Linked DNA regions of Schizosaccharomyces pombe. Changing the gene in region 4 together with the main gene of any one other region gives a genetic interaction. Each region holds a gene or a part of one and is shown on either strand. Other genes may lie near its edges. The genes, in order: kin1, sid2, ryh1 and bgs1.

Region 1 (7,729 bases), 340 kb from region 4:
AGTCATTTTGAAGAATTGAGCAAACTACTTGAAATTTTAGGAAATCCCATGCATACTCAGCGTCAGACTTTTATCTTTTCTGCAACTTTCGATGAGGGTTTACAGCAACGCCTTAAAAAGAATATGAAAGGCAATATAACTGAGAAATACAACAGCCCGATGGGTATGTTCAATTAGAAATATTTTACTTTCTCACTTACTAACGACTGCATAGAAAATATGTTGAAGGAGGTTCGTTTCTTTGGCAAACCCAAATTTTTGGATGCCAATCCTCAAAGTGCAGTGGCAAGCCGCGTATTAGAAGGGCTCATAGAGTGTGCTCCAGCTGAAAAAGACTTGTATCTTTATTATTTGATCATGCGTTATCCTGGAAAAACCATGGTTTTTGCCAATGGTATTGAGGATATTAAGAGAATCACTCCTTTTCTAAATGAGTTAAAAGTTCCATCCTATCCTCTACATGCTCAATTAGATCAGAAAAAAAGACTTCAATCTCTTGAAAAGTAAGTTATTTTTATTTATATGTTACTAACTAACAAGGTTCAAAAATAATCCTAAAGGAGTCCTTGTTTGCACTGATGTGGCCGCCCGTGGTATTGATATTCCTAGTGTTACGCACGTAATTCATTATCATGTTCCTCATACAGCTGATATGTATGTTCATAGAAGCGGTCGTACCGCTCGCGCTAACGAAGATGGCGTTTCAATTTTAATGTGTGGTCCTAAAGAACTGTCACAGCTGAAACGACTATGTTATCGGTTGAAAAAGAAAATCGAGACCTTTATTAATTTTCCTGTGGATATGTCAATATTGGACATTTTAAAAACGAGGGTCGTCTTAGCACATAAAATTGTAAATCTCACTAGAAAAGACGGAAGAGTGGGACGTGAGGAAGCTTGGTTAAAATCGATGGCTCAGGAATTGGGAGTTGAAAGTTCTGATGATGAGGATCCGGATTTGCCAAAAAAATCTGAATCTAGTAAGAATAAGAAACAGATAGCGCATCTTCGCTCAGAGCTTGCTCCCTTATTACACGAAAAAATAAGAACAGGATTTTCTGGTAGATACTTGACGAGCGGTCTTGTAAATATGGCTGAAAAATTAGCCAACGAAGAAGTTCATGATAATATTATCGGAATGGACTCAATTAGTGCTTTGGAAGTTCTGCAAAAAAGGAAGAAGTAAAAAAGGGTTTTTACTTAGCTACTTTTCATATAGCACGGGTTTTCATTTAGGTTTTTATACAATGGTTTTTTGGTATTTTATAGTTATGGGTTAATAATAATATTACTGCTAGATAAGTATCAACAAAAACGTCGTATTAGACTATATAAGTGAACGAATTACTATAAGATATATCATTAATTATAGTAGCCTTATGTATCTGGCTTAAACATAAGCGAACGAGGGTGCATTTACACGTTGACTTTACATGCCTCTGGCATCTGTTTGCTTTCACAGGCAAGAGCATTAGAGGTCTAGTTTCTCGTCTCTAAAAAAGCTCAACGTCTAATATAGTTCAACCTGAAGCGGTCTTAGTATTAAAAACCATAAACACTAATTAGGTGGTCATAACGTAAAATGAAGTGAAATAAATAATTTCAAAAAAGTATGCAGCTTTAATAGTCAATCACAATTTTAATTCGTTAAGAATACGACTAGCCAATGTCTTATATTGCCATGAGTTTCCACTAATTCGATGAAAAGAAACGCCACGAAGAGAGAGTATAGGGACTTTCACAATATATATTTCAAAGGCAAGGTTAGAGGCAGGCGACTCACCATTGTCATCTAATGGGACTGTGTCCGGCACCGATCCATAAGAATCAGTGGTAGAATTAGAGCCATAAGAAGGCTTACGTCGTGTATGAACAGAAGTCGATTTTGTAGGGGTTCGGATACCCTGAGGTTTATATAGACATGCATAACCACCCTTGATCTCTTTATACTCAATATCAAGCATGCCCATTACCCGAATAAGATCTCGTTGAATTGACTCAGTACTTTTAGTCGATGTAGTGGAAACACTGAACAAGCCTTTAAGGAAAACAGGCTTTATAGGATCCAATTTATCCGTAGATTTGGATGGGGAAGTAGAGTTCTTGTCCACCGGATTGCCCATCGTTTCATTAAGGATTTGCTTTTGGCGGTTGGTCGTAGAAGTTGACATCCGCCCATGCCCCAAGGAAGCACCACGAGGATTAAGTACACGATTATTACGAACCGACGGAGGTGCATTTGCCATATTGGATGCAGAGGGCCCTGTTGAATCCATGTTTAGTGAATCCATCTGACTGGAGATACCAGCATAGCGGCCCTCACGAACAGAGGTTGATCTTCCAATAGCAGATTGGGTAACAAGTTTATTCTTGTAAGATACTGGGGGCTTGTGAGACGGCTTGGTTCGAGGTGTTGGTGGAGATTGTGAGGTCTCAAGGGGAGCACTAATTTGAAGAGTAGATGTAGAAGACTTATTTTGTTTTCGGCGTGATGAAAACCTTCTAAAAATGCTGGATGGATTCTTTTTGATGGAGGAGGTTGCTGAAGGAGAAGGGGAGTGAGATTCCGTATCAGGCAAAGGCTTTCTGCGTGCAAGTGATGTGTTTCGAGAAACACGAGGTGATTCTTCGTCGCCTTTGTAGGCAACAACTTCCGGCATTGGCGGTAAAGTACGATTATAACTAGTTGGCTGAACTGGCGAAGAAGGAACGCTAGAAACTGGTGTTTTTGCTATCCTATTCCAATTTCCACCTTTTTCATATACACGACGTTCAGAAACTAAATAATAAATTGAAATGAGAGGATGAAACGCATCATAAATATCAGTGTTCATTGAAAGAGATGGTAATATTGGATTCTCGATATCATGCGCAGCATGCCTAATCCGGAATTCAAAGAAAGACTTTTTCTTGTCAGCTGAATTAGGCCCGGAATAAAATCCAGTTTTAGCTAAAGATTGATAAGCTTCACTGCTAATTACCTTAGTTAATTCACGAACAATTTTTTCTGGTGGTCCAAAATCAAAACCGTTCATTTCCCTAATAATTTCAGGATCTAATGGAAGAGTGATCGGAGATCTTTCCGGAGCAAACGAAGCTGGAGGTCCTTCATAATTGCGAATCATCCAAGGATGGTTCAAAACTTCTTCAAGCGTGGCTCGCTTGAGAGGATCAGTAACCAACATTCTTGATAGTAAACCTTTACAATCACTACTTAAATAACTTGGATACTCGACGGTACCTTTTTTTATTTTCGCATGCAAGGCAGACATATTTTGATCATCAAATGGCACTTTTCCGCAAACAAGAACGTAAAGTACTATTCCAAAACTCCAAACGTCTACCTCTGGACCAATGTACGGTTGAGCATTCAAAAGTTCTGGAGCAGCAAAATATAATGAACCACAAAACGTGCGCAAGCGAGACTGACGTCGATACAAATTTGAAAGACCAAAATCGATAATTTTGATGTCACCGGTCTTCGAAATTAAAATATTTTCAATTTTTAGATCTCTGTGCACCACAGAGTTTTGATGCAAATAACTCAGCGCACTTCCAATTTGACGCACAAATTTTCGAGCTTGCTTTTCTTTTAATTTTCCATGTGAAATAATATAATCCAGCATTTGACCACCGTCGACAAATTCAAAGACCATATAATAATGACTATTAGTAATATAAACATCTCTTGCCTCGCAAATATACGGATGACGGAGCAAAGTAGATAAGGCAGCTTCGCGAACAGTACGAATTTCCTTGTTTTTTTCTGATTGTGCTGCCTTAGTAGCCTCAGCAGAAGCAGCAGCTTTTGCCTTCGTTATGTCTGGATGAAGACGGGTAACTATTTTAATGGCAAACTGTTCACCTGTTTTTAAATGATGCGCAACTTTAACTTTCCCCATGCTACCAGCCCCAATGGTTTTACCTAGTACATAATTGCCTATGACTTTTCTTCTTTCACGAGGCTTCTCGTCAGCGCTATAAGAATGCCCAGATACAGGTACTCGCAGGCTATGATCCCGCGTACGAGAAGGAGATGCTGGTAGCGGTTTTCGACTTGATGGAGACCTTACGGGGCCATGATGTGGAGACTGAGAAGAAGGAGAAATATACCCAGGAGAAAAAGATAAACCCAGAGGCTCTACAGCGGATTTTGGTTGTGTAGAATAAGAAGGAGATTGCATAAAAGCATCCACCAGGTTGTGATGACGGTTGGGCGAGTCAGATATTTTAATTTTCGGCAACGCATTTAAAGCGGCAGACTTTGTCTCATTACCGACGGGTACGTTATTGGTACGGTACTCCATCAGGAAATGGGATCAACAGACAAAAAAGCAGATATAAAATTACTGCTTGAACTTTTGAGAGGCAAAAATTAGCAATCAACTCAAAATAAGCCGACTGAGTAATGTAATAAAATAATAACTTTGTGAAAATAATACAAACGTGTAAATCTTGGTTGACAAAAAATACTTTGTTATCGTAAATCGTGGCACCAGTTTCCTTGCGAACCTAAGATGACAAATATTACGAAAAAGCGTGAAATCCGAAAAATTAAAAAGAAAACAATAAAGGGACGAAGAAATTCTTGTACGAGATGAAAACAAATAAGCAAAGCGATCTAGTTACAAGAATGCTCGTGGCTTAGAAACGGATTAGTAGTCAATCAATATTGTTTGTGAAAAGAAGGATGCTCACAAGCCGATAAAGCCGTTTCTACAATCAAAACAAATAAGCAAAGCTTGAAAAGATAACAAATGAGATTATTAGAGCAGCAGGAAGATGGAAGAAGAACAGGTAAACCGGCTTAGCTTTTTCGATGAACAAGATAAACGACCAAAAAATATAGTTGTTTCGATAATTTTCGGTCGTAAAAACTCTTGTTTGAGAAATTCTAGTATAAACAGGTCTCCTGTTTCTTTTATTGAGCAACAGAAAGTCAAACGACTTTGAGATTTTCCCGCAATTTGTTTCCTGTCTAACAACCACTGCAAATCTATGCTACGTCCCCTAAGGCATTCAATATCTCTTCAATTCTTTCCTTTCAATTAAATTATTACAAAAAAAGGAAATGAAGCCAGAAACTGTAAAGGAAGGATTCCCTAACCCAAATGCACTGGCTTTGTTGTTGTACGGAATGGTTAAAGCAGCAGTGGAGATGTCATGGATGAATGCACCATGCTAAAGCATTCATTACGTTTAGTATCGATTTATATAGAGATAAGACTTCAAAATAGCCTACCAGTTACTATTTTCTTAAACTTTTATTTTTTTAATCTATTTCATGTATTTATCGACTTGTATTTTCCTTTCCCACACACCCTTTTAAAAGATCACGACTGCTATATACCGAGGCGCAAGCATGCTCCTTTATGGTTATGAGAAAAACATGGTATCTAAAAATGGATTTAGTATGCAGCAAACGACTCAATTGAAATTGTATACTTAAATCTTTTAAATATATGCGTATTCAAAAATACAATGAATAAATCACCATCACAGTTTCCTCATAAATGAACAAATACGCGTGTGTTTTTACATTATTCATACATCTGAATTATCGTGCCAAGTCAAAACTTTTTAAATTAACGAAATATTAAAGTTACTCTAGAGTTTTGTTTTAAGTATTTTTCATGTCTCTTAAGCTTATGAAATTTATTTCGATGGAACAATCAATTAATTTTCTTAACGACTAAAATTAGTCATCGACCATGACGGTACTCTTAATTCATTGATTGTTTTTTTGTTTTTTTAGTCACAATTTAAAAAAAAACAAAAACTGGTTTCTGTCTCTGATGTGGAGTAGAGAAATGGTCTTTTTTACTACATTTATTGCTTGTTATAATCATTAAATACACTTCGCATTGAAAAGTTGCATTGCACACAAACAATGCTTTCGAGCAATTAAACCAATTCATATACAATTTTACTGCAACATCCATAGTTGCTCAGAAAGCTGCCATGTTTAAATATAGGGAAGTCTAACATTACTCGTTAGGTGACTTTCGAAATATCATCCTTATTTACTACGATTGAGTTGGCGGTTGTTGTCATTTCACATTTACGGAATTTTGTAGATAAACTTTCTGACGGTAACTAATAAACCAAAAATACATCTATTTACTTTGGTTCCCGGTAACTAAAGGATTTAAGGACTGGAGTAATCTTTTTCTATAAGTAATAGAGCAAAAAGTCCCTGGTCTTAACCAAATAATCCTTTCTTTCAATTTCTGTTTCTCTCTCTTTTTTTTGGCATACTTTCACAATATTCATTTATCTATTTTTAAACGAAGTAAAGAAAAATGAAGTTTTGCTCCCTGTTTCATGTATTATCGTTTTGTTGTACATTGGCTTACGCCGTCCCTAAATCTCAGTTTTTGCAACTTCATTCACTAAGTAACGCCATTCCCGTTGAATGGAAATGGTACGGTAGTGTGGATGAAGATTCAGGTTACGTTTACTTAACCAGCAAAGACAGTAATGAAGCACGCTCTGGATCCCTTTGGTCAACTAGCGTTTTACGACAAGTTGGCTGGCAGCTATCGACTTCATTTGTAGCTCATGTATCAGAGAACGAAAACACCTTTTTTGCGATTTGGTATACAAGCGCTGTCGGTTCAGAAGGTCCAGTTTTTGGCGCCTCCGATAAGTGGGACGGCCTTCTGATTTCCCAGGAAATCGATCAAACTGGTAAAATCTTTGTTCGTGGCTATTTGAATGATAAAAGTTTTGAACTTGCTCAGTTTACTGACCCCGATCTTCCGCCCTTTGCTAAATGTACCATTGAGAGCTCTCCTGAGGCTTTGAACAATATTATTCTCAAATACGGTGACCAATCTGGATTAGAGTTATTTGTGAATGACAAGCCCTGCTTTCAAGTAAAAGATGTCATTTTGCCTCAGGGGTATTATTTTGGAGTTTCCTCTCAATCTACGTCTGCAAAAGACTTGGTGGCTTTATCGAACCTCAATATACTTCCTCCAGATACATCTAATAATGAAAATTTGAATCCTACCTCCAATACAAAGCAAAGCGTCGGTGACAATACTAGTCCTCAAACAGTTATTGACACTGAAGGTTTGAACGCAATAAAGGCTGATTTGGCAAAGCTTTTTAATCTAGTAGAATCTCAACGCCAGAAGATGGACTCTTTGCATTTTGCGTTGACTAATGCTTTGGAGCGTTTGAACGATATTTCTTCTACTTCACAGTTCCCAAGTGAAAGATTTAATGCCCTTGAAAAATTGCTACATGATTCTCTATCTGCGCAATCTTCCACTGCAGATGGTACTTCTAAACATTTAGCAGAATTTGAAAAGGAGATAAAAAAGGCAATGGGAAATGCTTACTCGCCATATAACTTGACAAACTTTATGGTTTTCTTGTTATTGGGTGCAATTGTATCCTATGGTATAATGTTGGTTCGTCGTGATCGCAGAAGACATAAATACTTATAGATTCGATTGGGGTGATTTGCCATTAATTTTCAGAAACGGTATAGGCGTGTAAAACGCGCAGTTATGAAGTGGTGTTTTTATACAAAGAATTGCTCATCTGTTTGTGTTTTGACGATTATCCTTTCTTTTGACCGTGGTTGTCCTGTCTTTTCATCATCAAAATTTTTAGTCATACGAAATGCATATTTGAATCATTACTTGCTATTATCTTAACCATCTTATAAATAATATATAATTTTCATATCTTAAGATATACACTTACCTAAAATGGG
Region 2 (6,366 bases), on a different chromosome or scaffold from region 4:
GCATTGGTTTAATTGCCTTAGGACGTGCAAGGTTTGTAGGATATGAAGGTAAATTATTAACAGTTGGGTTTGTGCGATTATTATCATAACCTTCGGGAGAGTTATTATTCGAGTTCCTCGAAACATTTCTACGATCAAATGTAGGAGCAGGAACCTCAACTGGAGAACGAGCTGGTAGCATTACCATTTGAGAATGTGGATAACGAGGTGGTTGTTGAAGTGTAAGCAAATCATCATTTCGAGGATTTTTCAAAGTTTCGGATGATTTTAAGTCATTAGAAACTGAAGGAAGCGAACGTTCATCGCTTTCTAACCCGAATGAATCTGTATTCGAGTCGGTTGATGAAAAGTGACTTTTTGAAGGGAGGTGTCCAGAGTTTTCATAAACTGGTCCCAAATGACGATGAGCAGGTTCTGCATCTGACGAAGCATTAGAAACTGTATTTGTGATGGAGTCACTTTCTGCTCCATCTTCTTCCTCCAAAGTTTCTATTCGAGAGTTACTCTTAAGCTGATTGTCTTCAAGTACAGTATCGTCATCCTTGTAATAGTTATCTAAGAAGTCATCAAACCCACCGTATGGTATGTAACTCATACGACGCTGTACACGACTTATAGAATTAACACGTGGAGGTGCCATATATTTTCTATGAGGATCCGGTTGTCCAATCTCATCCTTTCCATCATCTAAATTGGTCATTGGCGTTGGTCGCGGAATAGAAACCAAAAAATCTTCTTTCTGCTCATGATTTATTTGTATTGGGGCATCTTGCCGATCCAACTTTAAACTAGGTGAAGGCAAAATAGGAGAAGCCTGTCTCAAATTAGTGTTCAGCTTTAACCCACGGTTAACTACACGTTTGCTTGTAGGAGCAGGTGCAGCTGGAATTTTATACTGTGGCTGTGGCTCCGGCTTGACCGGTATGGTTGCACGCGGCAATTTGTCTTTGAAGGTATCTTCACTAACAACAGGCCGGGATATTTTTTTCTTGGAGAATTTCAATGCTGAAGGTGGAGTACCCATTGTAGCGCTCATTATACTAGCCCTGTTCGCGTCAATCCTTGAAGACAGGTCCAAAACATTCGTATACACTGGTTCATGGCTCAATGTCGGATATCTCGATGTAGGACGAAATTGAAGAGTAGGGGAGGATGAAGAAGCTGTGTTACCGCTTTTTAAAAAAGCTGGGGTACCCTCTGTTCTTTTTCCATTATTCGTTGCGAATACCAACTTTTCCTTCTCATACTTCCTCCGAGAGCTATGTGAATCTTTCATTAACAGATTAATTTACGAGTGAAATAAAGAGCAAAAGGTAGACGCTTTAGGAGGAAAGCAGTAAGAAACGAGGATAATGAGGTATCGCAGTTTGATGAATGTTACAGCTCTTCTGCTGTTGCCAACAAAACGAATATCTTACAGCTCACTAAACAACAAATAATACACGAAAACAAAAATTTTCCAAAATAGTAAAAATGGTTCAAGATATTAAATTGCAGATAGTGTCTATTTCCCTATCAAGTAAATGATTTACATAATTTATCTGGTAATTGCAAGTTCTTCTATATAAATGGCGAAAGCTGAATATTGACGAATAAAATAGTGGAAGATAAATAAAAATATAATATAATATAATGAAAAAGGATACTTCCAAATAAACATCATAAAATTAAAGTGATAACTTTCGCAAATTGTAATGTAAATGCCGTTCGAAAGTGAAATGCAATAGTAAAAGACAGTACTGTAAATGTCAAAACATCAAAAGCGAAGCTCAGTATCTTCGAAAATAGTTAATAACAGTAGATGTCTTATAAAAATACCATGAACAAGGGTCATTAAATTTCCCTTTGATTATAATAGAGTCCCGAAAGAAGGAGCAGAGAGGGGACTAGATAATGCGCTACTAGAGCTAGTAGGATGACTATTTTTTTGATGCCTAAAAGTGAAGCCGATAAAAGCATTGCGTTTAGGCTTATTAAATGTGTTAACCATATTAGCAATTGCAGCTTGTTTCTCATGAACTTCCTTATATTTAGACATATCATTTTCATTAGTGAAATCATCAAAATATCCTGCGTCAATCTCAGAATTAAGGTCGGGTACAAACGGAGGACGATATGCTGTACGAACATTTTTCCAATCAATCTTTGAGAAGTAAGGATGTTGCATGACTTGCTTAAGAGAACAAAAGCGATCCTTGGGATCAGTAATGCAGTGACATACAAAATCCCATGCATCATCTCTCCAGTTGAATTCCAAATCGCGGGGATCATCATAGTGAGGGCGTTGAAAACACTTGCGCCAATTCTTCAAGTTAGACCAGGTTTCATTAACATTGGAGCCAGAAAATGGAGGAAAACCAGAAAGACATTCATACATGATGCAGCCAAGAGACCAATAGTCTACAGAGTGGTTGTAGTTTTCACCTCGTAAAACCTCTGGGGCCATATAATCAGGAGAGCCAACTACTGAATGAGCGTATACAGGATCCTGAGATAAAAGAGTTCGAAACACTTGTCGCCTTTCCCTCATGCTCCTTTCGGGAACAACGACATTGTTGACTTCTTGAAGACGAATCTTCATACTTTCAATCTTCTTTTTGCTGATTATTCCAGAACTTAAACCAAAGTCCGTCAATTTAATATGGCCGCTAGCTCCAACCAAAAAGTTTTCTGGCTTAAGGTCACGATGGATGTAACCAAGTTGATGCAAAGCATCAATAGCTAGGAACATTTCTGTAGCATAAAACTTGGCATGATGATCCCTTAAAACACCACTGTTGCTAAGCAAAGTACGGAAATCACCACCAGGAACAAATTCCATAGCGAGATAAATGTTTGAAGTATCCTGAAAAGCATAAAGTAGACGAACTAACCATTCCGAGTTGGCTGTCGTAAGGATATCACGCTCAGTAAGAACATGCCTGATCTCATCCATTTTATGCAAAACCGATTTATTCATGATTTTCAAAGCAACAATCTCTTTGGTGTCACGCTTCCTAGCCAACCAAACAGAGCCATATCCACCTTGTCCGACTTGAGTGATGGTCTGGAAATCTCCGTGACTAATGCGTGTCCTCCTTTTCCTTAGATATACTCGTTCACGTCCATTGTATCGCTTCACTAGCTCGTCTCTTCGTGAATCAGGCTCTTTAAGCAACTGCTCTTCAAAAAGACGGGCTCTTTGCTTGCGGGTATAAAGATAATGAAGCTGCTCAAAGTAATGGTCTAAAAAGAACATTTGACAAATGGTTGCCATTCTCTTTACCTTAGGTTGGACCACTTTCTCCATTTCTTCAACTGACAAGTTCATAGATCCATTTTCCCATCTTGGTGAACCCGTTGAACTTCTATCTGACCAATGATTATTATCCTTGTAGCTCAACTCGCCAGATCTATCAAGACCACGCGGAATAGGGCTTGCAATCGGTAACTTACTAATGTGTTTTGAATGCATATGATTGTCAGGATAATTTTCCTTCGAAGATGCCACTGGGGAAAGCTTCATACTATTAAATTGATCCTCCAAATTCCTTTCTTTATCATTATTCGACAAGTTGCCGGGTTCAAAAAGACCATGTCGCTTCATATATGCATCAAATTTCTTATCTGCTTCAGAACTTAGCTGAAGTCCTAAATCACCTTCAACTGGTGACATATCATTAACACGATTCATTATTAGTTTTCTTTAAATATGTATCGTAAACATCCAACGTTTTGGTCCCCAAAAAATGCAAAACTCCTGTCAATAATAACCTTACGTGTTTTGTTTACGGCAGAGTACATTTCCATCGGAGTTAGGTATCAGCCATTTACCCTTAGCAACCAAAGTTTGATTACAGCAGTCGCTGGAAATTTCAAAACTTAAAAAACCAACCACCAAATTTACTACTTAGAACAAGATTGTTAAAAAGTCTGTTTTTATTATTTATCATACAAATGTAAACTAGATATAGTAAATTTATCTCGTTATTTTTAAAATGTACTGTGAATGCAAAATACATTTTAAATTTGATGCAATCTTTTGATTTCAGAAGAAAAATGTAAACGTTCATGTATTTTATTTAGTATGCAGAGATGTTTCTATAACATCATAATCATTATTCGATAATTCATCATTCTTTAGTATGAAAAGTTATGTTCTTAAGCATAGCGTAGAAATAGAATGGGTACACAGATTATCTTGATTAGATAATTCAGCTTATTAACTTGCCATTTTTTAAGGCCGTAACGGCTGTTCAGAAGAAGAAATGGAACCACGATGAGGCATGTATTCGCCTCTGTTAAGTATTTCATCAGAGAACACAGGAGAGCCCTCCAAGAAACTTGGAGTATATGACGGGGTAAAGCTTCTTGGCATACTTGATGTGAGTGTAAGCGAATTTGTGTCCAAACGTAAAGGTTCTTTCTTGGGTGTCGCCAAACTTGACGAAGATGCGTTGAAAGGGACCTGTAAAGTAGAAGATGCCCAATCTGGAGATTGTTCGGCATTCTCAATCTCCTCTTCTTCATCCAATTCATGAAGGCGTTTAGTGCGGTAACTTTCGCGAATGATATCCACATCATATGGCCAAAATAACTTTTGCGTTGTCATAAACAAAAACTTCGGGAAAAGACAACTTACAATCGTTCCACATAAAACAGCCCAAAAATTTGGAGTTCTGAATATACGCGAAGCAGATTTATAAAATTCATATGTATAAAGGCTTTGAGAGTAGACGCCAGTCCAAAACCAAAATGTCAAACAACTGAGCGCCCATAAACCAATTGAAAACACATCCCAATTTGATTGATTCAGAATAACATACGTGTCGACAACCATAATAGTTGGCGCAGCAACGTAAACACCTAAATCTTGTACAGCCATAGTATCACGACCATTCTGAGCAGCTGTGGTCACATTGTTAATCACAAGAAAAGAGAAAAAGAAACAGATTACAGACTGATAAAACCCATCAAGCATATATCCAATAAAGATTTTCCTGGCTGAATTTAATTGCAAAATACCACGCTTGTAAAGCTGAGGGATCCGAAGCGACAAATCAGCATTAACATCTTGATCATAGACACCCATGACAATGACAGGTAACGATGAAAAAATCAAGTTAAACAGCATAACATAAGTATAATCGAAAAGGTAATTTGCGTCGAAATTGTTGTAAATCTGATACCAGAATAAAGTAAATGTCCATACAACACTCTTGTAGAAAAAGTTGTTTACCATTTCAGCAACACGATTATAATCCCAACGGCCATGAACAAGAACCAGCTTGCTCAAAAATCGGAATTGACCGATTGCATAATCCGCAGACATAGCTGCAGCACGGCCTTCTTCACCAACAATACCAACACCAATATCAGCTTTTTGAATCATTGCAACATCATTCGCACCATCTCCAATGGCTAACGTCATTACTTCAAGGCTTTCGCGTACCAATTGAACAACATCTGCTTTTTGAGCCGGACTAACACGGCAACACAAGACAGCCTTGCATCTTTTACAAAGTAGCAGAAACTTGGTTCTCATTGGACCATCTAAAACTCGTTTAAGTACTGATCCATCAATAACTAACGCATGAGAGCCAGAGGGAGTGTCATGATCCTTCTTAGCAGCTTCAAGTTCTTCAACTGATCCAGACAAACCAAAATAACGATATAAGTAGTCAGCTAAAATAACTTCCAACTCTGGTGTTGACACTTCTTGGTCCACATCAAACTTAATCATGTCCATGCCAGCGTCCAATAAATTGCAAGAAAAACCAATATTAATAGCAGTCTCCATTTTGTCTCCGGTCAGAACCCACAATTTGATACCGGCTTGAGCCAATAATGCAATTGAATCAGGTACTCCTTCTTGTAATCGATCCTCAATAGCTGTTCCACCGAGCAAAGTAAGATGAGATTCAATCAAATCGGCAACTTCCTCTATTTGCTCCTCACGGTTTTCAATTGCAGATGCGGCGATGTCATACTTTTCTTTCCATTCGTAATATTCCTCTTCAGTAAGCTCTCTTTTTGCGATACAAAGTGTTCGTAAACCTTCCAATGCAAAAATTCTGAGATGCTCAGAAGTGGTTTTACGTAATTCAACTTGTTCATTTGGTTCCAAACGTTCGAAAATAATGCTATCAGCACCTTTGCAAATAAGCACATAACGGTTATCGGGTCCTTTAACGATCACACTCATTCTCTTCCTCGCTGAGCTGAATTCAATAGTATCCATCAATTTGAATCTTTGGGTTTCTCCAAGAGCACGAGTAACCATAATGTCTCTCCGCTGGTCCAAAAAAACAAAGCCAACGTCGCGGGCGGTACCCACGAGTGCAGCTTCATCTGGCGATTGTGCTTTATAGACAATCCGGTCACCAA
Region 3 (6,053 bases), on a different chromosome or scaffold from region 4:
TTTATTTACACTTGGCTTCTTTCAACAATCCACTCGTTTCAACTGCTTTGCTCGACGCACTCATTACAAAATCCTACAAATTCCCATGTAACCGGAGCCGCATGAGGAGACTTTCAAAAATGTTTTATCTTTGTTTTCTGTCCTCACGGCAATCTGCATTTGTTATTTATTGCTGTGTTAAATATCCATATTTTTCGTCATCCGGCAAAGATCCTCCAACTCGCCTAACAGTGAGGTACTTGTGACCTTGGTTAAAACAAACTTTGACTGTTTTTCTACACTCGGTCCAACAATTTCACATTATAGTTGACACGATTCTACGACATGGCTAACGTGCGTCGCTATTGTACTTGTAAATTTTGTCTGACCAGCTCTTCTTTTCAAAATACATGGCCAAAATGGGTTCCAATAGCTAACTGATTAGTCACCATTTTATGAACAGAATCCAAGTGGCTTTATCAGAAACGCTTTAAAAACCAAAGAGAGTAATTAAAACAAAAAAAATTCAACATAGCATACTTCATGAGGGAGAATGGCTGGTCATTGAGACTTTTCCTTTTCCCTCAACTTCTGTTTATACAATGTTTTAGTATGAGATTCCTGGGCGAATCATTGCCTGCTTGATTCGAGAATAATGCGTGAGCTGTTCGCTATGTTCAATTCTGTTATACATCGCAATATGTCAAATGTTTTATTTCTCTATTCACTGTACATAAATGATACAGGATAGGTTCATCATTGCTTATAGTCAGCTGGATATTATTCATTGATATATAATGAGAGCCTAACAGAACCAGTATTATTCAATTTGGAAATGAACGATCTCAGTGTCAAAATATTCATCACCTTCATAGAAAAATATCCCAAAACAATCGCTAACTTACACTACCTGGGTACCGCGATATAGATAAGTAAATTACAAGGAAAATTCACCACAGCTTAAGGCATCATTAAAACCGGATTACAATTTCATGGTTAATATAAACGCTTAATTCTCTTTCAGTAGTGCGGTTGAATTCTCACTAAAACAGATTAACGAACTCTTCAATATTGCTCCCAATCATCCGACACACGGATTTACTCTAATCTACGATTGTTGATTACTTATTGCAGTTTGCACAGTTTTGGGATTTAGCTATTTTTCATTCTGCCTAATTATCACGCCTTACTGTATCGACGTTTCTTTGTTGATCTTTAACAACTGTCCTTATTTTTTGGTTTTTCGCGGATTTTTTTAATTAGATATACAGTTAACACTTCATTTGTCGGTGTCTTTGTTTTCTTTAATTGTATTTGTATATTTAATTGTTAATTCTTGTTTTGGAAGATTTTATACTTTTTTATTGGTTATACAGCAATATACTTTTTTGAAACTTGATTTTTTGGATATCCCGGAAGTTTTTTTTCTGCTTTTTTTTTTCTTTGGTTTTGTTAGGTCGTAGAAGCTTCACTATCTTTTTACCTAGAAATGGCTGCTAAACACGTAAAATACATGGCTTGTCTATTCGATATGGATGTATGTTTATTTTTCACACCACATTACCTCTTATGAAAGCTTTTGCATTAACAATCACTCTTTTTACAGGGTCTACTTGTCGACAGTGAAACTATTTATACAAAGACGACCAGTATGTAAATAATATATCTGTGCTTATATTTAGCACAAAACTACAATGTTTTCTAATCTTTATTTTTTTTATAGATCTTATATTGGACAGGTATGGCAAGGATCCTCTTCCTATTTCTGTTAAGGCTCAAATGATGGGTATGTTATATAAAGCTAGCGAAGAGATATTTTAAAATGCTTTCAAAATTGCAGGTCTAACTTGCGATACGTAGGGAGACCGGGTTCCGCAGCTGCCAAGGTTGTTATAGATTGGTCCAACATTCCTATGACTCCTCAACAATTCGTTGATGAACAACAGGTTATTCGGGTACGTACTTATACGCTACATTTATTTCCATTTCAACTAACTTTCTGAAAGGCAAAGTTTTGGTCGTCTTTGAAGCCTATGCCTGGGGCTGAATCTTTGATTAATAACCTCTCCAATCATGGAATTGATATCGGGGTATGTACTCATCCCTACGCTATAATAAAAGTGTGCTAACAGCATCACCAGCTTGCTACTTCCTCTAATACCGCAAATTATAATATGAAGACAGCCCATCTTAAACATATTTTTGAGAAATTTGGTAAAAATGTTATTACAGGTGATAATCCTAGTATTGCACCTGGTCGTGGCAAACCTTTTCCAGACATTTGGCTGAAGGTGTTGAATTTAATAAATGAAAGTAGGAAGCAGCGAGGTTTGAAGGCACTTACACCAAGCCAATGCATTGCCTTTGAAGACAGTATTCCCGGTGTCAAAAGTGCAAAGGCTGCAGGAATGCATGTCATTTGGGTTCCAGATGCTGCCATCAAAAACTTGGTAGGGGATCAGCTGAATGAGATTGTTGATTCTCAATGTGAGACGTTACCGAGTCTTTCAGAGTTTGATATAAACAAATATCTTAACATAAATTCAAAGCAGGCCTAGAGGTTATATCCGCTAACTTTTTTTTGGTTCATTCAATTTTTTTTGGCAAAAAACCTCATATCTTTTAATAAAATTAAAAAATTGAAGTATAAATAAAGTTCTACTGTTTCAATGAAAACCTTGAACTGACTCACATAGCATAAATAACTTATGAGTAAAGGGAAAAAGCGAAATCTAAAAAAAAAAAAATAATAACATTTCTCTGAATTCCAAAATCATACATTGTAATTTTTTTCCTTCTTTGCAAATGCCCTTGAAAAGTCAAGAAGCACCGCAGGGATTAAACGAAAGAGACTTATTCAGAAATTCAACTTCTCACTTTTGTAAAGCATATATCATAGAGACAGGATTAAAATAAAAAAGGACTAAAACAAGTAAAAAAAGAAGGAAAAGGAAACAGGTATAAAAGGAATCGCGATTCTTTAAAGGTGCAAAAGATTTAGGGGCTATAAGAAGATATATATATACTCACAGTATACTTTTTGAGGGTCAAATGACATTAAAAACCGCTGATTGCGGCCTGAAGCGAAAAAAAATAATTCACGAAACAGTTAGAGTACACTGACATGTTCAATGAGATACACTAGCAATTGCAGCTGCTTTCATTCTCGTTAGGCTGAATGCTAACGTCAATCATTTGAGTGCTTTGTGTTTCCACATTCTCCATGCCTGGTAACATTTGTGCAATTTTCCTAAACAACAGTTTTACATTGTGACCCGCTTTAGCACTAGTTTCCATGTGCATTATTTTTAATTCTTTTGCCTTTTTTTCTCCTTCTTCTTGAGTCACTTGCCTAAACCACCGTTAGCATAAGAACCATCAAAAACCAAAATATAGCTTTGGAATTATGAATGAAGAGATGTCGCATTGTAAATGCTGAATCTCTGTTAGCTGGAGTGTCATACCTTTTATCAGCCAAGTCCGTTTTATTACCAACGAGAACAATTATAACGTCGTCTCCCCGCTCAGCACGAACATCTTCAATCCATTTCTCAGTATTTACAAAAGAGTTATGGTCTATAAGTAGTTAGCAGATATTCGAAAATAAAGTCTGAGTAAAAATATATGGCAAAATTACTGTGCCACTATTACTTACTAGTGATATCGTAAACAATAATAGCAACAGAAGAATCCCTAATATACGAAGGAATTAAAGAACGGAAACGTTCTTGACCAGCAGTATCCCATAGTTGAAGACGAACCGTTCGATCTTCCAAATACATAGTCTTGCTTAGAAAGTCTATACCAATAGTAGCCTTGGACCCTGTTAGTAAAGAAGTTTTAATTATAGTTACTTACTTGATAAGTATTATCAAACTGATCGTACATAAATCGTGTAATTAACGATGTTTTGCCAACTGACTGCTCACCGAGAAAAACCAACTTAAATTTACGCAAAGAAAACGAGTAATTTTCTGACATTATGACAAAAAGTTTTGACTTCTAAATATACACAGACAAAAGTAATTTAGATACAGACGGAATTGCTTATTGATGATCAAAAAGCACCGTACTTAATAGTGGTAGTAGTGAGTAAAGACTATCGTGCTACAGTGAGATCCCGCCGCATATCCTTAATATACTTTCGCTTGTTTTACTTTTCATTCGCTTTTACGAAGTTTAATCTCGGTAAAGTAATTCTATAACAAACAACTTTTTCGCTGAAAAAGAAATCATGAACTCTCACCGTTCTTAAATTACTAAGCATTCCTAAAGATGGGTTCTTTTTCTTTGAGTTGTTGATAGTGATAGGTTTTTGGGTGTTAAAAAACATACAGCTGTAACAACAGTTTGTTTACTACTCATAGTTTTATACACAACATTTCAAGGAATGACAACTGGGATAAAAACGCGCCACATCGCATGGGAAGGAGGAGTCATCGAGATTTGATTATCATTAAACTATATAATACAAGAAATCTCTCGATTGGAATGGCCTAATTTTTGCTGAGAGTAGCTAAGTTTACAAAAAAATATTGGACACGCTGGGGATTGAACCCAGGACGACTCGCATGCAAAGCGAGCATGCTACCACTGCATCACATGCCCAAACATTGAAGGCTTCAGCATATTAGTAAAGTATAAGGTAATTTTTTTGTTTAGTAGCTGATGAAAGAAGGAAAATGGAAAGTAGTTAAACCATAGAACAAGCTTGAAATTCAACATAATGGCTTTATTCCATTTGAAATTTTATTAGAATGTTTCATAATCTACGCATCCTGTCTGCTACCAAGTTCAAGATTGGCAGACTGCACCAAACTGTTCGAAAAATGTATGTTTGTTAACTTGAATAAAACTAGCTGTTAAACGAGTCAGATTTAAGCAAAATATAAGCTTTACAGGAAAATATACTCGAGTTAATTTAGCAAACTCGGTCATTTCATTAATGATACAATTAGCTACGGAACAGCCAAGTCAAATTTTATACTTAATGTCAACAATAACAGGTTAGTTAGTGGGTTTTAATTTAATAATTTTCGAAATCAATAAAAGAGTAAATAGTATGGCTTTTCAAGCTTAGATTCTTTTAAAAATAAATTTTTTTTTTATTTGTATCCTTATTGCAATATGACGAAAAGTTCAAGAAAGATAAGAGAATTAAAAACTAAGTTATTTCATAATTATTAGCTGCTGTTTGGAATAAAAAATCTCGGAATTTAATGATAAGATGAAAAAGAATTTAAAAAGTAAATATGTAGTTATATATCCTATAAAAAATTTGGTTCAAACGATTAATTTAGATTATTTAGAATCTTTAAAAAGATAATGGGGTTAAAAACAAAAGAACTTGATTTTAGATTCAATTTAGAAATTTTTTTGTAAAGTGTCTTGATGTATTTCAATTTTTAGATGTGTAGCGCCATTTCATTTCACTCATGTTTTTAAAAGAGAAAAAAATTTACCTAGTTTATTAAGATATACAATTCATTCAGTTCCTTTTATCTTCTTCTATAATTCATTGTTTATTTACTTATTTATTTTCTCCAATGTCAAATTTATAGCACTTTAAATATCGCAAAATTTCAATATTATACGTTACAGCTCACAACTTTGTGTCTAAGCCCTCCGACTAATGTAGCTTACACTGCCTCTCCTTTCCCCATTTTCGACAAAATTAAATGAAAAATCCAATTTTTTGGCGATTCTTCCTTTTACTTATTTATTAAACACCAATTATTTCAAAAGGAAATTTTAAATTGTCTTTCCTTAGTGACGCTTGTTCAATAAGCCCCAAAGTTAGCAACCTTTACTTCATCGTACCATTATTGGCAGCCCAGGCATCGTTTATTTATATATTTTTATACAAAGCATTAGAAATTAACTTCGTATTGCATTTCTTTATTACGATTTTATTATAGGAGACGAAGTACGTATGAACGATGGAGTTTAGCACGAGCAGTTTCATTTTTGATGATGATACACCACCGAAGTGCCCTTTGGCAACAAAAGCTAGCTTTATCTTTTCAGTGTATATTATCATAGGCCTCATCATTTCTTACCTGTTACAAATCTTT
Region 4 (9,320 bases):
TATGAAGAAACTTTCAGATGAGTACCACCGTACTAAAGATGCTAAACAAAACGTTTCAAAATCCGTTAGCCTTATCTCTTCAAGCGATTTGTAAATGTGAACGTAATAACATAATCAATATCACATTACGGGCAGACGGTGCACCAATAATTTTTTCTCATGTAACAGACATTAAGTTTGTGTTTGCTCTAACCATCAATCGTTCTTCATTACTTATTTAGATAATATATTCTCAAGTACTAGATACTTAATCAACACTCAAGTCATTTTTTATTTAACAAAATGCAAATATAATAATTATTATTTACCCTAATTGAGAGCATTTCTAATGAGAAATAAGCATCCACATCACACAAATCCTTTAAAAAAAAATAAAATGCTTTAGACAGAAGAATTCTTTGTTGAAGAATAAACAATCTTTGTCGCTGGCTGAATCAGATTAAATTTATCCATTGAAGTTCCAGCAGCTGATTTACCAAACACAAAAGGCAAAATTAAAAGAACAAAAAAGGCAATAAACAATGAAAAGTACAAAGTGGCATAGCGAAGAACTATTTGACGACGAAGTTTGTTTTGTCTTATGGTATAAATTGGGGGTCGAATTTGTCTGCTGGGCACAAGCCAGAATAATATGATCGAGTGAAGTTTGTCGATATAAGGAATCAAAATAACAGGCGCTTGCAAAAACAACAAAAGATGACTTAAAAGGAAATCACCAGCAAACATATTCAACTCTGTAGTTTTACACACAAATTCTCTCCATGGTTGCGTTAAAACCATATATCCAAAACCTTGGCCATTCCAACGTCCAGACCACCAAGCTAAATTGGCACCATCATGACGAAATTCTCGAGACAGGAAACATATGATAAAAAATTTATGAGCAAACCTGTGAATTGAAATGATTGCTACAAATCCAAGTAAAGTTTTTGAAAATGACCAACCTTCCAAATAGCCCAATACTTCAAAGACAACAACATCAACACACACAAAAAGGAAATGGGCCACTCCAGCCAAATATACACCATACGTTTTAGATCTATCGCCGAGAATAGGACGTAACATGATTCCTAAACAGAAAAAGAAAAAAGCAATAATTGCACTTAAAACCAAAGGAGCAACTGACATAATAATCAAGCGAATAAAAGCATTAGTAGATTGGGTCTCATCATCGTTACCAGGTTGGGAATTGATAAAGAGAAATGGAATACACGTGAAAAATAGTGTTCCTAGAGGCCCTAATATTTCACCATAAAACATTGTAGTAATTCTCGCACGCGGGGAATCCATAGCAATTTTATCTGCCTTCTTACCATATATTTTACGTTTATACCCAGTTACTCTGGTACGGCAAAGTTGACAGTTGCCAATCCATGAATTTGCTTGATTGCGTGAATTTTCGCGGAATAGCCAGCGCATAAACTCACGATAATCAACAAAGAAATCGGTCCAGGCGAATTGATGGGGATTGTAAAGGAATGGACTAATGCAAAGAGCAGTCAGCGTAATCCAAAAGTAAATATAATGCGGCAACCAAGCAGTAATTGAACCAAACAATAACATGTACATAAGTCGTGACCCAAAATAAAGTGATGGTCCAGAGAATCGAGAATACAATAGTGAGAACGGCACACGAACAGTAGCAAAACCTCTGCTAGTACCAATATAGCGTGCACCACCAAACGTAAGATTTGCAATTAAACTCTGCGCATATATTTGGCATGTGAAAATTTCAAAAATAGGAGATAGAGAGAATATTTGTTTCGCTAAACGAATAACCATTCGGATGGCACCGCGTTCCCCTAATTCACAAACAGCAAGTGGAACAAAAGCAATACCAAAGACAATGAAAATAGACAAAATACAACGCTTCAACCACTCGAGAACTGGTTTTAATTGATAACAACCTTCAGGGTACAAAGAAGCTGTCAAGGAGTCAAATTGGCGGTATCTACAAACCGGAACAACAGTGTACATTGCTCCCAAATTAATAATAACAAGCATCAATAACTGTAAAGAAAACATGATGACCATGTTATTGACGTGAAATCCAGCGTGGGCATAGAAAAATGACAAAAACCTATCAAACGGTAATTGTGTGCCAAGGTTGAAATATTCTCTTGAAAGCATTTGTTCCGCCATACCCGTTCCAATTTTCGTAGTAAAGTTAAGAATTGAGCCAAAACCCAAGTCACGACCCTTACCACATTGATAGTAATCACAATGCTTAATACGTCCTCCACGTTGAAGAGCAATCATACCTGCATAAATATCTTCATTAACATGCAGACCTTTTTGTGCTTTTGAAACGCCGCCACGAGTAATCATAAACAAAACATTAATAAAATCAGGATGTCCGTAATGCAATTTTCCACCAATCAACGATAAAATACGAGCGAAAAGAGTACCAAATGTTTGTTCCTTTCCAGCAGCTACATCTCCAAGCATACCTGTATTTTCTGAAAAAATGTATTCTCTAGCACCGAGAATAGCTACGGGATGATTGTCAGCAGCTTTGGCATTTACCGAGTAAGGGCTATGTAAGGGAGGAGTAAGTTGCTCAAATTCAGCAAGAATGCTACGAATCTTTAGACATTCTTCCAAATAATTATCCTGGTTGGCATCGATCATTTGTACATATTCACCTCTAATGTAAGGAATAGACATATTTTGATTATCAGATTTACCGTCACCCAAAATTGGGTTACCAGATAGACGAATACGATATTTGGGTCGACGCTTTCCATTTTCCATAATGGGGCAATGACCGTCAATCAGTACAGAATAAAGATGGCGCTCGTCATTATGTCGAGATTGAGGATCTTCATCCATATATGCAATTTGCAAGTCTGGATACGCTCTTAATAAAAATTCTGCATTTTCGGCTTCTTCTTTGGTAAACTTAGCATACCGCTGCATGGAGACACAGAATCGGAACTTCCTGTTTGCCATTAAATCCAATTCTTCATCTAATCGCACAGGGTCACCATTTGTCCATTCGACCAATTCTGGTGTTTCCGTTCTGTATAACAGTTTGATGGCACGACTATAGTTACTGAAACCGTTGATAGTGCGATACAAAGTTTGAGTTCTCAGAGAGGCCCAAATTCTTGTTCTCAAAGTATACTCCGGAGTCGCAGATTTAAATCCAACACAATAGAAAGGAAGGTCATATGCTTTATTTACTCCATTTTTTTCATTGTCGATACTGCCAATAACAGAATCATTTTCATCAGCAAGTAATTTTGTATCATCAACAAAATTTCTCCACTCCACAGGATATAGCTGCTTCAAGTACTCTAATAGAGTTACGCGAGAAAGTTGATCTTCCTCGCGAATAATCTCTCTTAAAGATAACAAAATTTTCTCAGAATAGTGAGGAACCAAAACAGTGAAGGTAGGCATGGCATCAATGGAACTAGTCTTGGGTATTGATTCAGCCAAGGATTGTGCGAAAAAGGAGATTCTTCGAGCAGCTTCTGAATTAGCCGGAAACAAATCTTGCTTATAATGCTTAACCTGTTGGGAGTAGAAAAAGTTGGGAGCTCTAAGAGTATGATAGCCTGCCTTTTCAGAAGGTACTTGATGGTACAACAACTCCTGAATTTGGGTACGGGAAATCAAATGCTCCCTGTACATCGAGATAATAATGGCATTCCAAACTTGAGAAATAAGTACTTTTGGCTTGAAGACAATCTCCATGTCATCGGTATACAACAGTTTTGTATATATTCTTCTGGGAACGCGGTAAAACAATTCTCTCCAAGGAGTCCACACACTGATACCCAGGCAAAAAGCATAAGCCAAAGAATAGATAGTGCTGATAAGAATGTACCATAGATAAGTATCAAGGAAAAACAGAGAAAGATCAGTTAAATACAGTAAACTCAAGAGAATTTTAGGCTGAGCCTTGCATAGTCCAGCTCCTAAAATGTAATCACGGCAGTCATAAGGTCGCATAGCACCCAAAAATCTGATAGAATCTGCCAAATTCAAAGTTAAAAAGAAATAAGATTCCAAGAATTTGGCCACCAAAACTGTAATCCAAAGACACCAAGAAACGAAAGCACCTGTTTTTGAGGTCGGAGTGAAATTGGCGGTGAAAAATCTGTTAGCAAGGTTTTTTCCAGACCTTTTTGTGGTGAAACCAACCAAATTTCGTAACGGCGTAATCGAATAGTAAACTACACAGACCAACGAGAAAAAGAAATGCACAATTCCTACAACCAATCGAGAAGCATAATGCTGCTCTTTCGTAGACGAAGCAAATATGAAAACAACAGGTGCGATGTTTAGAAGTAGCGTACTTATCAATAACAGCATACTCGGCCACAACCTTCTGGCAGAATGATAACGACGAGGAACATGTATATATTCGAAAACCACAGCTGCCAAGGTGATAAAAGAAGCTATAGCACCAGCTAAACCACAAGCTGTCCAACGACAAGAAGCAGGAGGTTTATTATTCAAGCGGATGTGATAATTTTTGGTGTACAAATTTGGGGAATTATAAGCCGAATAATACCAGTAAGCAGATATATGCATTACCCAAATACGTGAGAAATTGGTAACGTTATGGAACCAAGAACGATACTCGTAATAGGACTTATAAAAACATGATTTCCATTCAACATCGGAAAGATGTCGATATCGCATAAACGGTGGTAAATCTAACAACGGAGTTTTATCAGCACACATGATTTCCTGAAGGCCCTTGTAGGACCAAAACAATTGATTAATATCATCATAGCCAATGATTTGAGAATGATCTCTTTCTCGTCTGACGTATTTGCCGTCCAAAATTTCAAACAGCTGTGCATGAATAAATCGATAAATAGGGGTGATAACCGAGTCTAAATAAAATTCCTTGGGCAAAGCAGCATCGACATCTTTAGCTTCCGAAGAGATATAATAATCATAAGCACATTCAAATATAAAACAAAGACACTCGGGAACAAAACGAACATTGTTAGCTTCACCCCAGCAAAGAAAATAAAGGCACACCTGCACCATCATGCGATGGGGTGAAAATGCTGCCATTTGATCTCTCCATGCCTGTTCAGCTTCTTTCAAAGTCATTGTTTCGACAATTGGGGAAGACATATCGTGAAATCCAATGGCATGACCGTCATTAAAATGAGAAGCAAAGTACCACTTTGAAAAATTTGCATGTTCACCACCAATGACATCGGCATGGATAGTAAGCAGTGCCGAGGAAGGAGACATACGAGATGCCCGAGAATCTAAAAGAACCATAACATAATCAAAAATGTTACGCATGTTATCTTTTTGAAAACCAAGTTTATTTGTAAGGTCCAACAAGATCTCTTGAACACCTTCCATAGTAACAGGAGCCTCTTCACCAGCTTGATTCCAAGCCGGATAAGCAACTGAACTGGAATCGACATTAAATGAAGAGCTATCATAATCAGAATGTAATGCATCACGAGAAGAGTTTTTATCGTAAATCATACGGGTCAGAGAGCTCATAGTATCATCGTCAGAGACATAACTATTGGCATCATCTTCAAAGAGTCCACGACCCTCTTGTTCACGCCAATACTGATCCATGATGAATAAATAGACTCAAAAGAAGGAGAGAGGACAAATTTTAATGCTTAAATTAAGAAGAATTGAAAGAAAGAAAAGTTGGAATTTGTGAGAAAGAATGCTAGCAAATGAGGAACGATGTTCAAAAGAAAGAAATAAATTTAAGAGACCTTGAAAAAAAGATTAAAAAGAAAGAAGTTAAGCCTTGGAAAATGGGGGCAAAAGAGTAGAAGAGAAAAAAATTTGTGCTGATTGAAATGAAAAAAGTAAAAGACTTTTTCAAATCCTAAAAAGAAGAAAAAAGGGTGATATATGTATGCCGGATGAGAGAAGACGGCGGAAAAAGCTCTAAAAGTAGGAAAAAGGGTGGGATCACGAAGTGAAAGAGTAGTTAAGATATCGGAGGTTCAAAAGGGAATGAACGGAACCTAAAAATACAGTATGCAAATTATAAAAAAAGAGGCGAAAAAAAAGAAGAAATAATTATAAAAACAACAATAATAATACCATAAAACAGCAAGCACCAAAAGAAGTACTTACAAATGCACACCTAGGAAACTGACCAAATTTTTAAAAAAGCGATTCAAGGAAGGACGTTTTTTTAAAAGAAAAGGAGAAAATATAAAATCGCTTTCCACATAAACTTTAGATTGAACAATTAAATTGTCGTATGCAGAAGCTTATTTACAATCTCTCAAAGCGAAAAAAAAGTAAATGGAGATGGGAAAATGGAAGGAAAAGAGAAGCGAAAGGGTAAGAGGAACCCGGGACAAACGCCAAACGTCCACACAAACACAATGCTACGACAAAAGGTGATCTTGCACACACCGAAAACTTAGCAGTGATGGAGCAACTAACGTAAAGATAATATCACACAAGAAAACTTGGCAAATGTTAAGATGGAGTCAACCTTTTTGTATGGAGGCTAATAGGAAAAAAGAGAGGAAAAAGAAAAGAAGGAACCAATGATAGATATATAAGAAGGAAGAAAAAATTAATTCCGTGCAACAGAATCAAAAATTTGACGTTAAAAAGGATAATTTACTCTAATTAATCAATATATTTTCAAAAATTTTAGAGTAATTCCACTAAGAGAACGGTGAAAATAGCCAAAACCCACCAGTTCCTAGTTTGTTGTCTGCAAGTTGTACTCATTCCGGTTCTTTCAAAACTAACAGCGAAATGGGGAAGGGTAGTGCACATTATTGAGGCCTATTTTAGTGTAAGCAATTTAGAGGCTGGCGTGGTAGGAGGCTCAGGTTACTCACCAACGAGGCACAAGGAGGCTTAAAAAACCATCCCCATACAAAGCAAAGCCATAGCCGGTCAAACAAAGAAAGAATTTATAAGCAGCTACTGTGTAGCATCTTATCAATCGTTATACCCAGCTACCGTTTTAGATGGATACTTTTAACCAAACTAAGGACGCTATATTTGAATTGGAAAAGAAGTAAACAAACTACAAAAAGTCAAGAAAGTGTAGCTGAAACCATAATTCAGTTACAGTGAACATAAGCGACGAGTGTTCTTTTTTTTTGGAATTGTTAAACTAATTTCTAATATGTGATTGTCTACATGGGTGGTAAACAATAGTAAAAATAATACAAAGCTAGAAGGTACCGAATCCCAATTAGCAAAGGTATGATTATTACAGTATAGAGCTTATGAAGAGAACTAGGCATTGGGCTTTTTTCGCAAATCCCGAAAATTGGGAAAATCATAGACGCACAATGTCTGGGTATTGAATGCGTGGGAAAAGTACGGATTTGAATGCTAACAAATCTGGTTAGGATCTAAAGAAGATGAAAAGACAACCGAGTACGAATTTAAAAGCAATTGGTTAATCCAAAGGAAGAAACAATGTGCCGGCATTGGAAAAGGTTTCCATTCCATATTCTGGTTAAGACTTGGATTGGGCAATTTCCCTTACGAATACCCCAAAAACAAACACATCCTGTAAATATTTTTATCTATCAATCGACTATTACAGCGATATTCTTTTAAATCTTTGATGACTATTTAGTTGTCACACTTAAACAACTTCTTACAATCATTTGACTACAACTATTTCTATTGTCGCACCTTCTGCTCTTTTCATTTTCTCCATTTCATTAATTCCTATATTTTCTACTTCTCTAGTTTGTTTTACTTCTTTACACTACCTTATTAGATAAATAATCTAGCACCCTAGCCTTTCTTATCATCTTAACCCCCTGTAGCGAGACTTTTTTCGTCCGGTACCTTACAGGGCTTGGGTGGGCTTTATAGAAAGGCTCAGTACATTTACCACGAGATTTTGAAAAGGATAAATCCAGCGTTTTTTCCTACAAACTATACGTTCCTGATACGCTGTATACGCTTCTTTTTCATCCAAATTTCACATTTTTTATATTTTGGTTCAAGTCTGGGGTTGATTTAAGAAAAATTTTTTTCCGTACTGCCTATTCAGTGTTTCTATTTATATTCAAAGGTGAAATTTTTTGTCTCCGCAAACTTTACATTGCCGTTATTGTCGCTTTGTTTACATTTTGAAAGTCTCAAATTGAATATTTTGAATTTCATCCTTGGCTTTTTTTTATTTGGTTTCCATTTATTTTGGTGATCGGCTTCCTTATTTTTTTTTGCACATTTAGTATTGGGTTAGACTTCAAGTCATAGGAGCCGATTGAATGATATCCTAATATTTGCCTGCTTTTTTAAAATTCTTCCAAAGTTATCTCTTTTTTCTACATTAAAAGGTTTTTTCATTCGTCTACCCAAAACGTTAACGACATTTTCCTTGTATTCTTATCCCTTTAGATTATATCCCATTTTGGTACCCATTACTGTTTTGCTGCATTTCAAGTCAAGCTGATACATTCAAGTGAATCTAGCGGATAATCATATTTTGTATTTCAACCTTTAAGTTTTGCACTTCCTTGCATGCGTCTTTGCCTTCCCTTAATTTTGATTTTTATTACACTGTCAATAATCACGAAACAAGAATATAAGAATAGTCGAAACTCTCACTTTCTTTGCGCCCTTTTTTCCTTCTCCCTTTTCTCCTAATTTTTATTTCTAGACTTCACTGAATTTCCTCGGTTGATTTAGTCAATTGGTTTAATTTTTAATCCTTTTTTTGTTGTTTTTTTACTATTTTGGTTCTTAATTGTCGCTCTTTTTCTACTTCTTATTTATATTATTACCTAAATATTTGGACTCTAACTATGGATATTAATCCTCCTCCTAGTACTGCTCCTTCATCTCCTCGCCGTTCTGTATGTGCTACATAGTGGTTTGGTTCCATTCATACACCCCTTTTCTCCTCGCTAACGTACCATTTAGATACAGCGTATTTCCGATGCAAAAAATAAGGCTCTTACTTTTAATCGTCGACGACTTGGCTTGATAAAAAAAGCACATGAACTCTCCGTTTTGTGTGATGCTAAAGTGGTGGTCATGATTTTTGATTCTAAAAATGCTTGTCACGTTGTATGTTTCATATTTCCCGTTTTTCTGATCCTTTTCTGTCATATCCTTTCAATGTAAAGTGAATACATTATAGGGAAGGTGATGAAGGTCAACAACCAGAAAACGTGGCAATGTTTTTACAAGTTTTTAATATTAACATACACCTCTTTAGTATTCTTCTGAGGAACCGGAAGAGCAAAGAGATGCCTTGCTGCAAAAATTCCTGAACAAGGACTTTGTCACGGTTGACCCTCTGGTAAGTCACTTATCAGCAATCATTATGCTTGTCCTGTATTCTGTTTACTAACATAATCCCTTGG

What was found.
Region 1: of bgs1 (region 4) and kin1, a mutation in one rescues a mutant of the other (synthetic rescue), as found in Schizosaccharomyces pombe (one study listed by BioGRID).
Region 2: mutations in bgs1 (region 4) and sid2 impair growth when combined (synthetic growth defect), as found in Schizosaccharomyces pombe (2 studies listed by BioGRID, with this or other methods).
Region 3: mutations in bgs1 (region 4) and ryh1 impair growth when combined (synthetic growth defect), as found in Schizosaccharomyces pombe (one study listed by BioGRID).

Annotation. Positions count from the first base shown.
Region 1 is NC_003423.3:2,691,746-2,699,474, reverse strand, and holds kin1 (MARK/PAR-1 kinase Kin1), read right to left. Parts: upstream 5,144-7,729; 5' UTR 4,308-5,143; coding exon 1,632-4,307; 3' UTR 1,347-1,631; downstream 1-1,346. Other genes in the region: ATP-dependent RNA helicase Mak5, read left to right, coding at 1-163, 215-503, 541-1,186; emp46 (lectin family glycoprotein receptor), read left to right, coding at 6,303-7,457. UniProt on the Schizosaccharomyces pombe protein: Has a role in establishing the characteristic rod cell shape. Important for cell polarity and is involved in directing growth to the cell ends.
Region 2 is NC_003424.3:220,180-226,545, forward strand, and holds sid2 (serine/threonine protein kinase (NDR family) Sid2), read right to left. Parts: upstream 3,775-6,366; 5' UTR 3,674-3,774; coding exon 1,850-3,673; 3' UTR 1,515-1,849; downstream 1-1,514. Other genes in the region: cfh1 (chitin synthase regulatory factor-like Chr3), read right to left, coding at 1-1,276; dnf2 (phospholipid-transporting ATPase), read right to left, coding at 4,217-6,366. UniProt on the Schizosaccharomyces pombe protein: Part of a signaling pathway. Required for initiation of medial ring constriction and septation.
Region 3 is NC_003424.3:1,191,077-1,197,129, forward strand, and holds ryh1 (Rab family GTPase Ryh1), read right to left. Parts: upstream 4,070-6,053; 5' UTR 3,961-4,069; coding exon 3,838-3,960; exon of another isoform or gene 3,795-3,837; coding exon 3,635-3,794; intron 3,558-3,634; exon of another isoform or gene 3,556-3,557; coding exon 3,444-3,555; exon of another isoform or gene 3,332-3,443; coding exon 3,121-3,331; 3' UTR 2,538-3,120; coding exon of another isoform or gene 2,121-2,537; 3' UTR 2,070-2,120; coding exon of another isoform or gene 1,986-2,069; 3' UTR 1,935-1,985; coding exon of another isoform or gene 1,840-1,934; 3' UTR 1,766-1,839; coding exon of another isoform or gene 1,703-1,765; 3' UTR 1,629-1,702; downstream 1-1,628. Other genes in the region: pseudouridine-5'-phosphatase Pud1, read left to right, coding at 1,469-1,516, 1,586-1,628, 1,703-1,765, 1,840-1,934, 1,986-2,069, 2,121-2,537; SPOM_SPAC4C5.03 (multispanning membrane protein, CTNS/PQ domain protein), read left to right, coding at 5,919-6,053. UniProt on the Schizosaccharomyces pombe protein: Has a role in retrograde traffricking of proteins from the endosome to the Golgi. Involved in protein transport to the plasma membrane. Involved in the secretory pathway where it has a role in acid phosphatase secretion.
Region 4 is NC_003423.3:2,350,673-2,359,992, forward strand, and holds bgs1 (primary septum and spore wall linear 1,3-beta-glucan synthase catalytic subunit Bgs1), read right to left. Parts: upstream 6,693-9,320; 5' UTR 5,572-6,692; coding exon 382-5,571; 3' UTR 250-381; downstream 1-249. Other genes in the region: SPOM_SPBC19G7.04 (protein-DNA covalent cross-linking repair protein), read left to right, coding at 1-94; DNA-binding transcription factor, MADS-box Mbx1, read left to right, coding at 8,757-8,807, 8,875-9,021, 9,173-9,256. UniProt on the Schizosaccharomyces pombe protein: Alternate catalytic subunit of the 1,3-beta-glucan synthase (GS) complex. Synthesizes 1,3-beta-glucan, a major structural component of the fungal cell wall. Required for the assembly of the division septum and maintenance of cell polarity.